2 linked regions of the Schizosaccharomyces pombe genome follow. The protein of the gene in region 1 purifies or fractionates together with the protein of each later gene. This does not show direct contact. Each region holds a gene or a part of one and is shown on either strand. Other genes may lie near its edges. The genes, in order: arc3 and rpn501.

Region 1 (3,943 bases):
AGAAGAGAATGTAGAAGAGAACGAGGAAGAGTAACCCCATACCTTGTTTTATTTGATTTTTCAACCCATTTACTACCTTCTTTATATTTTATTATTTGTCGTCAGTGTTTTGGTAATATTTAACTATTTAAGCTATACATAATTAGAAATTACGACGCACCTAGGAAGTCGCAAGATGGAGAGGTATTATGTATACATATATATGTATAGTATTTATAATATATATACTTGAATTAATTTTATGTTAAAATTCCATTTCTTTTGGTGAGATGTTAAAATTATAATATTAGTAAGAAGAGAGAGTTAGATAGGATCGATTTAAAGCGCATACTCTTGATACCAATAAAAGTTTTGTGGTATCAAGGAAATAATGTTTATCAACGTTCCAAATTAAAACAGAAAAAGAAAATGATAAATGTTCAGGACCCATTATGCTAAGCTCTGTGATATCAATCCTCATCTTGTTGACATATGTTACATCATGTGGGCCACAATTAATAAAGCTATTAAAAAAGAGTTAGAAATATCAGTTTCTCTTACTTTTAGAAGAATTTTCAGAAGGCATTTTTTCCCAAAATAATTGAATTCTAGCAAGCAGGGCGTTATCGTTTTGAATGGGAATAACACCTGACAGAGCTTGCATTACTACTTCAAAGTCTGCATCAATTAGCGTGTCCCACATTCCTTGTATAACCGCAAGAGAAGTGGCTTGCAATAACCTGACAGTTTGACCTTTGCTTCCACCTAATAAAAACAGGAGATCCCATATACGTAATTGAGTATGGAAGGGCACGCATTGATGAAAAACAGTGAGATACCAACGTGTAGCAAAAGCAGATGGTTCTGCTCCAATTTCCGCCAGATGTCTGCCTGATTGTGTAAAACTTAACTCATGCTTAAGCATGTCAAAAGCCTTTAAAAGTGTATCAAACCCGGAAGAAAACAAGTCCCCCATGCCTCTATTTTCCAATAAATTTACCATCATTATAAATGCTTGTTCTTCGGGATAGTAAATGAGCAAGGTCGCAGCAATAGAAGCCATTCCTTGAACGTATCCAACACGAGGTATATAGAGAGCTACAGCATGAAGAACTCTAAATAGTAAACGTTGCCCTCCAATGTAGCGTTTTCGGAATAAGAAATGTGTAGCAGCTGTTCTGGGAACATCTAGGTCAATTTGAACATCATAGTCACAAATCTGCTCGTTCAATTGGTAATACTTGTCAATCAGTTTTTTATCAGGAAGAGAATCCACAAGAAAGGACCACCACGCAATAGATCGCCAACAATCTGGAATCCCCTTAAATGTACGTAAAATTAACTTACGAGTTTTTCGAAAAGAATGGAGCTGATTACCGGAAACGAGGTGTATTGAACACATCGATTTCCATTTTTGAATACGGGAAAGCTCTTTAGCTGATATTTCGTTGCGGTCATGCGACTCGCCGGGAACAACCATGAAGATGCTTTCATCAACGTACTTCAGCATGTCATCATGGCCGATTAATTTATTGCCAAGACGTTTGGCAGGGTTTGGTTTATCTAATGTTGGGTCTTTACTAACTTTATAGAACCCTAAATTATTAACATTAAAGTCTGAGCGATAGTTTCCGTAACGATCCACATTTTCCAATGACTCTTTTGTATCGATTTCTTGAACTTTTCCATTAATAGGTTCTGGTATATTTAAATTATTCTTGTCTTCTTGTAACCTGTACAACGACCGAATTCGTTGCAAATTGGTTGTTCTAGTTGGGGAAGGGTTTTCCATGCTCTTTCAGATATATCCTCAATTCCGTCACTCTGGAGAAAACAGATTACCTACTAAACTGTATTAAAATATCCAACACAGAAAGATTTAACAGGGGGGAATTGTTTCCGATGTAGTAATGTTTACGGTCCCAAAAGACCGTCTATCCCCATATAAGTCAGTACGTTAGATCCCAAAATCAAAATAACCAAACATGAAAATCTTTTTTTGACGTTTTTATAATTTTTCAAGCAATAAATGCATTCGTGCAAATGCTTATGAATTTGGTTCTCGCTACAAATTTATTGGCTCTATGTCATTTCCATTGATGAAAACTAGTTATAAAGTAGAGACCGAGACCCGATCACAAAACAAAAAAACGACACGCTATATTGCTTTACTGTAATTACATAGCTTTTCGCTATTTTGTTTAAAGAAAAGCTAATTTATCACTATTGATGCTTGACGAAATGCTCCCTATCGGCACATTCAGCAGGTGCTCAAGTTATCCAACAACATCATAAGCACTAGACATTAGATATGCCGGTATGTTCTAAAGTTTTGAATTTTTGTTGCTGACATGTTATGAAAGGCCTATCATTCCTCCTTCTTAAGTCTTACGGACGTCCCTACCACGGGAAACATAGCAATGCTGCCGTTGAAAACCAAGTTTCGTGGACCGGCTTATCCTGGTATGTTCCAGATATTTGTCAACTCTGTTTAAAGACTATTCTTAATGTTATTAGAGTACTTTCTAACATTTTTTATACAGCTGATGAGAGTCAAATGGATATTATTGATGAATGCATTGGGCTGTTTCGCGCCAATTGTTTCTTCCGCAATTTTGAGATTAAGGGACCAGCAGACCGTACTTTAATTTATGGAACATTATTTATCAGTGAGTGCTTGGGAAGAGTTAATGGACTCAATTATCGTGATGCTGAACGTCAACTTAATAGTTTAGCGTTGGAGAATTTTTCTATTCCTGGCTCTGCTGGCTTTCCCTTGAATGCATTATATGCTCCTCCCCTTTCTCCTCAAGATGCTGGTAAGATTCACCCAAACTGTGGCATTAGACATATAGATGTTTGTGCCGCTAATAGCTTTCTTGCTTTTTTTTTCATTTGCTAACTATTAAAAAAAGAAATAATGCGTACATATCTTACTCAATTTCGTCAGGAACTTGCTTATCGTCTTTTGTCCCATGTATATGCAACTGAAAAGGATCATCCCAGCAAGTGGTGGACTTGCTTCAGCAAGAGACGTTTTATGAACAAAGCTTTGTGAGTCTATTAATTAATAATTTGGCTCATACTGTATTTCAAAGCCTTTATGTTTTTCCGTTTCCTTTATTTCAAATGCGGCTTATAAAGTTTTTGAAGCGTACGAATGGCTTATTTAATGTAGGCAGTTTTATACGTAGATAGTAGATGCAAAAATAATCGCTTTACTTTCATGTACAAGTTATCAATTAGCTTTGTTAATTATGCTAAAGGAATATTTGAATGATTAAAGTCGTAATATTCAATGTTGGTTCAAAAATTTTTATTGAAATCGTAATTTTGATTTTTGCAAACGGCAGACCCAATAATGAGGATGGTATATCCATTCAAGCATACTTCGTTTGTCCCCCATATAAGTCGTGTCGACCGAATTGTGCTTTAAAACCTCAAATCCCATACTATCCATCACGTAAAACAGCTGCTCGAGAGTCAATTCAACGAAAGGTTGTTGCTGGCTATCACTGTTAGAATTAGAAGTACCTTCTGACTCAAAATGATACAATAAAGGCCCGAGATTTATCCAATAACCTCCATCTACCAAACAGTTTTTAATTGTATCCAAATAGTCCAGTATGTTTTTTGTAGTGTCTATAAAGAAGCAGGTAGCTACTACTTGAAACGAATCACGACTTTCTTCGGTGCCGTATACCTCCAGGAAATCCCCGGCTGCCATTGAAAAGTTTTGTGAATTCCGCAGATATTGAGAGGGAACTGCATCAGGAATATTTAATGAACGCACCTGGTCATCACGCATGACATGGTTCGAAAATGAATGAATATAAGGATACACAAGAAACTGATTTTCCTGCTTTACGCAATTCAGTATGAAATGCGACGTTAAAAGCATAAAATATGAGAACTCATTTCCTTGGCATGCAAAGCCTATTAAATGTTAGAAGCTATGTCCAAA
Region 2 (3,846 bases), on another chromosome or scaffold:
TTAGTTTTTGGCTTTGGTGGTTCAAAAGGGCAGGTTAAAATAGCAATCTTTGCATTTTCAATACGATGAGGCATTTGTGGATGCGACATGTCTTTGTCCACCACAACACCCTTTACAAGCTTTGTATCATCCACTGAACCACCAACCTTGCCATCTACTTTAATGAGTTCAAAATCAACATCTTTTCTCTGCAAATCAGCAACAGAAAGGACCGCGTCCACAGCAATGTTTGCAAAGTGATCATGAGCTTTGGAAACCACTTTACTACCCAAACTAGTCTTAGCAGAACGAAATAAATTAGTAGTGTTTTCGGGACTAAAGTCGACAACATCTGAAATAGCATCTAAATGTTTAACAGCCACCTGGCATGCCTTTTCGTAACCATCTGCAATCCTTATAGGATGTATACCTTTGTCTATAAGTGCCTCGGCCTGCTCCAGTAATGCACCTGCTAGTACAACAACACCAGTAGTTCCATCCCCAATTTCATCATCTTGAGATTTAGACAACTGAACTAACAGCTTTGCAATTTGATGTTCAACCTCCATTTGGTCGAGGATTGTAGCACCGTCATTGGTAACCGTAATCTCTCCATCTGGAGAGATTAAAATTTTATCCAGTCCACGGGGACCCAAAGAAGTACGCACAATATTAGCAACTGTTTTGGTAGCTAATATGTGACTTTTTACAGCATCAATTCCATGCAATCTTCTCTTCTTTTCCTGGTCACGTACTAAAATGAAAGGATTTCCTTGATCGTCACGGACCATAACAGCGTTATCTAGACCGGCCATTTTGCTCATCTTGTTATTGTGAACTGTCGATGCAAATGAATTTCAAGTGATAAAACTGAACGCTACACTAACCCAAATCCTTGAAATACTTTTGAACGATTTCACAAAGAACCTTATCTCTTACTTCCCTTTAAATCGTTGAAATAACTTGAGGTTCAAGCTTAGGGTGTATTCTTTAGAATGTCGTTGAAAGCACGTCTAATATGTTGCGGCCCTTCAGCATTTTACGAACTTCTATAGAAGAAATAAGCACTATATTTCACTAATGTAAGCTACGCAGTTTGGTATCTGATTTAAGGATACGTAGAACTGCGGTGAGTTTTCCTTGTGGTCTATTATATTACAATACACAGGTTGTATAAGTAGCAACTGAGTATAGGTATTGTATTAACTGAGTTATAATGTTACCTATCACTAATATAGCTCATAACTGAACTGAGGAACGAGGTTCAGTTGTAACGCTATTTATAATATTTCTAAATAGTTGTTATCAACGGGTATCTATGTATATAGACGGATAGTTACCCGTGATTATCAATAAACGGATCTTAGCTAGTATTCCAACATATGACATATAGTGATACGCAACGTAGTGTATCATAGCGTAGTGTACTATTGCTGACAACTAAAGTATTTTGCGAGCGTGCGTTACAACTCTGTAATCATAAGAAATCAACTCGCAATATTAGTCTCAATTGTACACTCTCCAACAACCCACATATCGAAATGGAACAGAAACCGGAAGTTGATTACTCAGAGAAGTTTGCAGAGTTACAAAAAAGTTTAAATAACCTTAATACCATAGACATCGTACGTAAAAATCAAAATTTTGACTAATCTCTAACTTGTAATTGTAGGATGCGAACCTCGAGAAGCTTTTGATTTTTGAGAAGCAAGTTCGTCAGGCTTCTGACACCAGCACGAATACGAAAGTATTAATATACATTGCTGATTTGCTCTTTCGAGCTGGTGATTTCCAAGGCTTAAACGAACAGTTGGTTAGTCTCTTTAAAAAGCATGGCCAACTGAAACAATCGATGACAAGTTTAGTCCAACATGTAATGACCTATCTTCCTGGAATTGACGATTTAAAAACAAAAATTAATTTGATTGAAACATTGCGTACTATTACTGATGGAAAGATATATGTGGAAGTAGAAAGGGCACGTCTTACACAACTGCTTTCCCAGATTAAAGAAGAGCAAGGTGACATCAAATCTGCCCAGGAGATCTTGTGTAATGAACCAGTAGAGACTTACGGATCTTTTGATTTGAAGGAAAAAGTTGCATTCATTTTGGATCAAGTTAGATTATTCTTACTGAGGTCTGATTACTACATGGCATCTACTTACACGAAGAAAATAAATGTTAAGTTTTTTGAAAAGGAAGACGTCCAGTCTTTAAAACTTAAGTATTATGAGCAAAAAATCCGAATTGGTTTGCACGACGATGCATATCTTGATGTTTGTAAATATTATCGAGCAGTTTATGACACCGCCGTGGTTCAAGAGGACCCCGAGAAATGGAAAGAAATATTAGAAAATGTCGTTTGCTTTGCCTTGCTTACTCCTTATGATAACGAGCAGGCAGATCTTCTTCACCGAATTAATGCTGACCATAAACTAAATTCTCTTCCTTTACTCCAACAATTGGTTAAGTGCTTTATTGTCAATGAACTAATGAGATGGCCCAAAATTGCCGAAATCTATGGAAGTGCTTTAAGGAGTAATCCTGTTTTTGCTGAAAATGATGAAAAAGGTGAGAAACGTTGGTCTGAACTTCGTAAGCGAGTCATCGAACACAATATTCGTGTAGTCGCAAACTATTATTCCCGCATTCATTGCAGTCGTCTAGGAGTGTTGTTGGATATGAGTCCTTCCGAAACAGAACAATTTCTTTGCGATCTTATTGCAAAGCATCATTTCTATGCCAAGATTGATCGCCCAGCTCAAGTCATTTCATTCAAGAAATCTCAAAATGTGCAAGAGCAATTGAATGAGTGGGGTTCCAATATTACTGAACTTCTTGGAAAATTGGAAAAGGTAAGACAGCTTATTATAAAAGAAGAAATGATGAATTCTATTCAACAGGCGGTAGCCAAATAAATTGTTCCGTCTCTATTTCATTTCGTTACTTTCATGACTTTGTCATTTAAATAATATACTATTGGTTCAAAGGCCTTCAACTTTTTTTACGAGAATACAATAGTTTTAATGTCGAATTGCAACCTCGGAGAAAGTTATTCTAGTAAGTTTGTAGTGATTTTCGTTGTTATTTGTCTCGTAACTAGAAGGTTAACTTGATGAATTATTTTAAATAAATTATTGTAGTTCACTCAATATGTAGTCCCTTAATTTTTATTTCAGTTGAGTTTAGTTAAAAGATTGCCATTGGTATCATATCTGGCCTCAAAAAAAGTATAGCTTAGAAGAATATCGTCAATATCCTTCATATTTGGATCATCAGCAAATTCTGGATCTATAAAGAAAAACACAGGCAAGTCTACTTTTTCATGAGCATCTAGCTTTTGCTCTTCAAAGCAAAAGCATGCAACCTTTGAGAAGTAAACAGCGGCTTGACCTGGTACTATATTATAAGTTGCAACTCCTACTATGTCATGGTCGGACGTATTTTCAGCAGTATAAAACCCTAGAGCAGTCTCGCCTGGAAGAACATATATTTCACGCTGCTGGGGCCAAAGCTTCCAGCTAAGGTTTCCTGCAACGTCGCCATTGAAAGTAACTCTGATTCTTTTATTGTCTTTACGAGGAACCATTCTTTCTGCATTCATACGACTTTGGTCGGTATTAAGAGTGCCACCATAACCTGTTTTCGAACAGAAAAGACGATATAAAGGTACAGCCGCATATGTCAAGCCCAACGCAAAAATGGAAATTGCAACCAGATAATAGATAGTGGTCCTTTGATTATAGTGGAATTTATCTCTCGAATATTGTCGTGAATATTTCCTGGTACCAGAGATGCAATTGTAACAGCTAAATGAAGTAAAAATACAAGGGAAACGATGTGAATTAAAGTCTGCAAATCGAGA

The links.
Region 2: the proteins of arc3 (region 1) and rpn501 purify together in Schizosaccharomyces pombe (affinity purification with western blotting; one study listed by BioGRID). This does not show direct contact.

The regions. Positions count from the first base shown.
Region 1 is NC_003423.3:3,110,552-3,114,494, reverse strand, and holds arc3 (ARP2/3 actin-organizing complex subunit Arc21), read left to right. Parts: upstream 1-2,257; 5' UTR 2,258-2,290; coding exon 2,291-2,296; exon of another isoform or gene 2,297-2,342; coding exon 2,343-2,442; exon of another isoform or gene 2,443-2,522; coding exon 2,523-2,798; exon of another isoform or gene 2,799-2,894; coding exon 2,895-3,037; 3' UTR 3,038-3,295; downstream 3,296-3,943. Other genes in the region: pdk1 (serine/threonine protein kinase Ppk21/Pdk1), read left to right, coding at 1-34; SPOM_SPBC1778.09 (GTPase-activating protein), read right to left, coding at 527-1,771; SPOM_SPBC1778.07 (carnosine N-methyltransferase), read right to left, coding at 3,296-3,915. UniProt on the Schizosaccharomyces pombe protein: Functions as a component of the Arp2/3 complex which is involved in regulation of actin polymerization and together with an activating nucleation-promoting factor (NPF) mediates the formation of branched actin networks.
Region 2 is NC_003424.3:1,264,749-1,268,594, forward strand, and holds rpn501 (19S proteasome regulatory subunit Rpn501), read left to right. Parts: upstream 1-1,520; coding exon 1,521-1,604; intron 1,605-1,651; coding exon 1,652-2,899; 3' UTR 2,900-3,032; downstream 3,033-3,846. Other genes in the region: chaperonin-containing T-complex epsilon subunit Cct5, read right to left, coding at 1-794; rsm22-cox11 tandem protein cox1101, read right to left, coding at 3,157-3,846. UniProt on the Schizosaccharomyces pombe protein: Acts as a regulatory subunit of the 26S proteasome which is involved in the ATP-dependent degradation of ubiquitinated proteins. Required for proper proteasome assembly.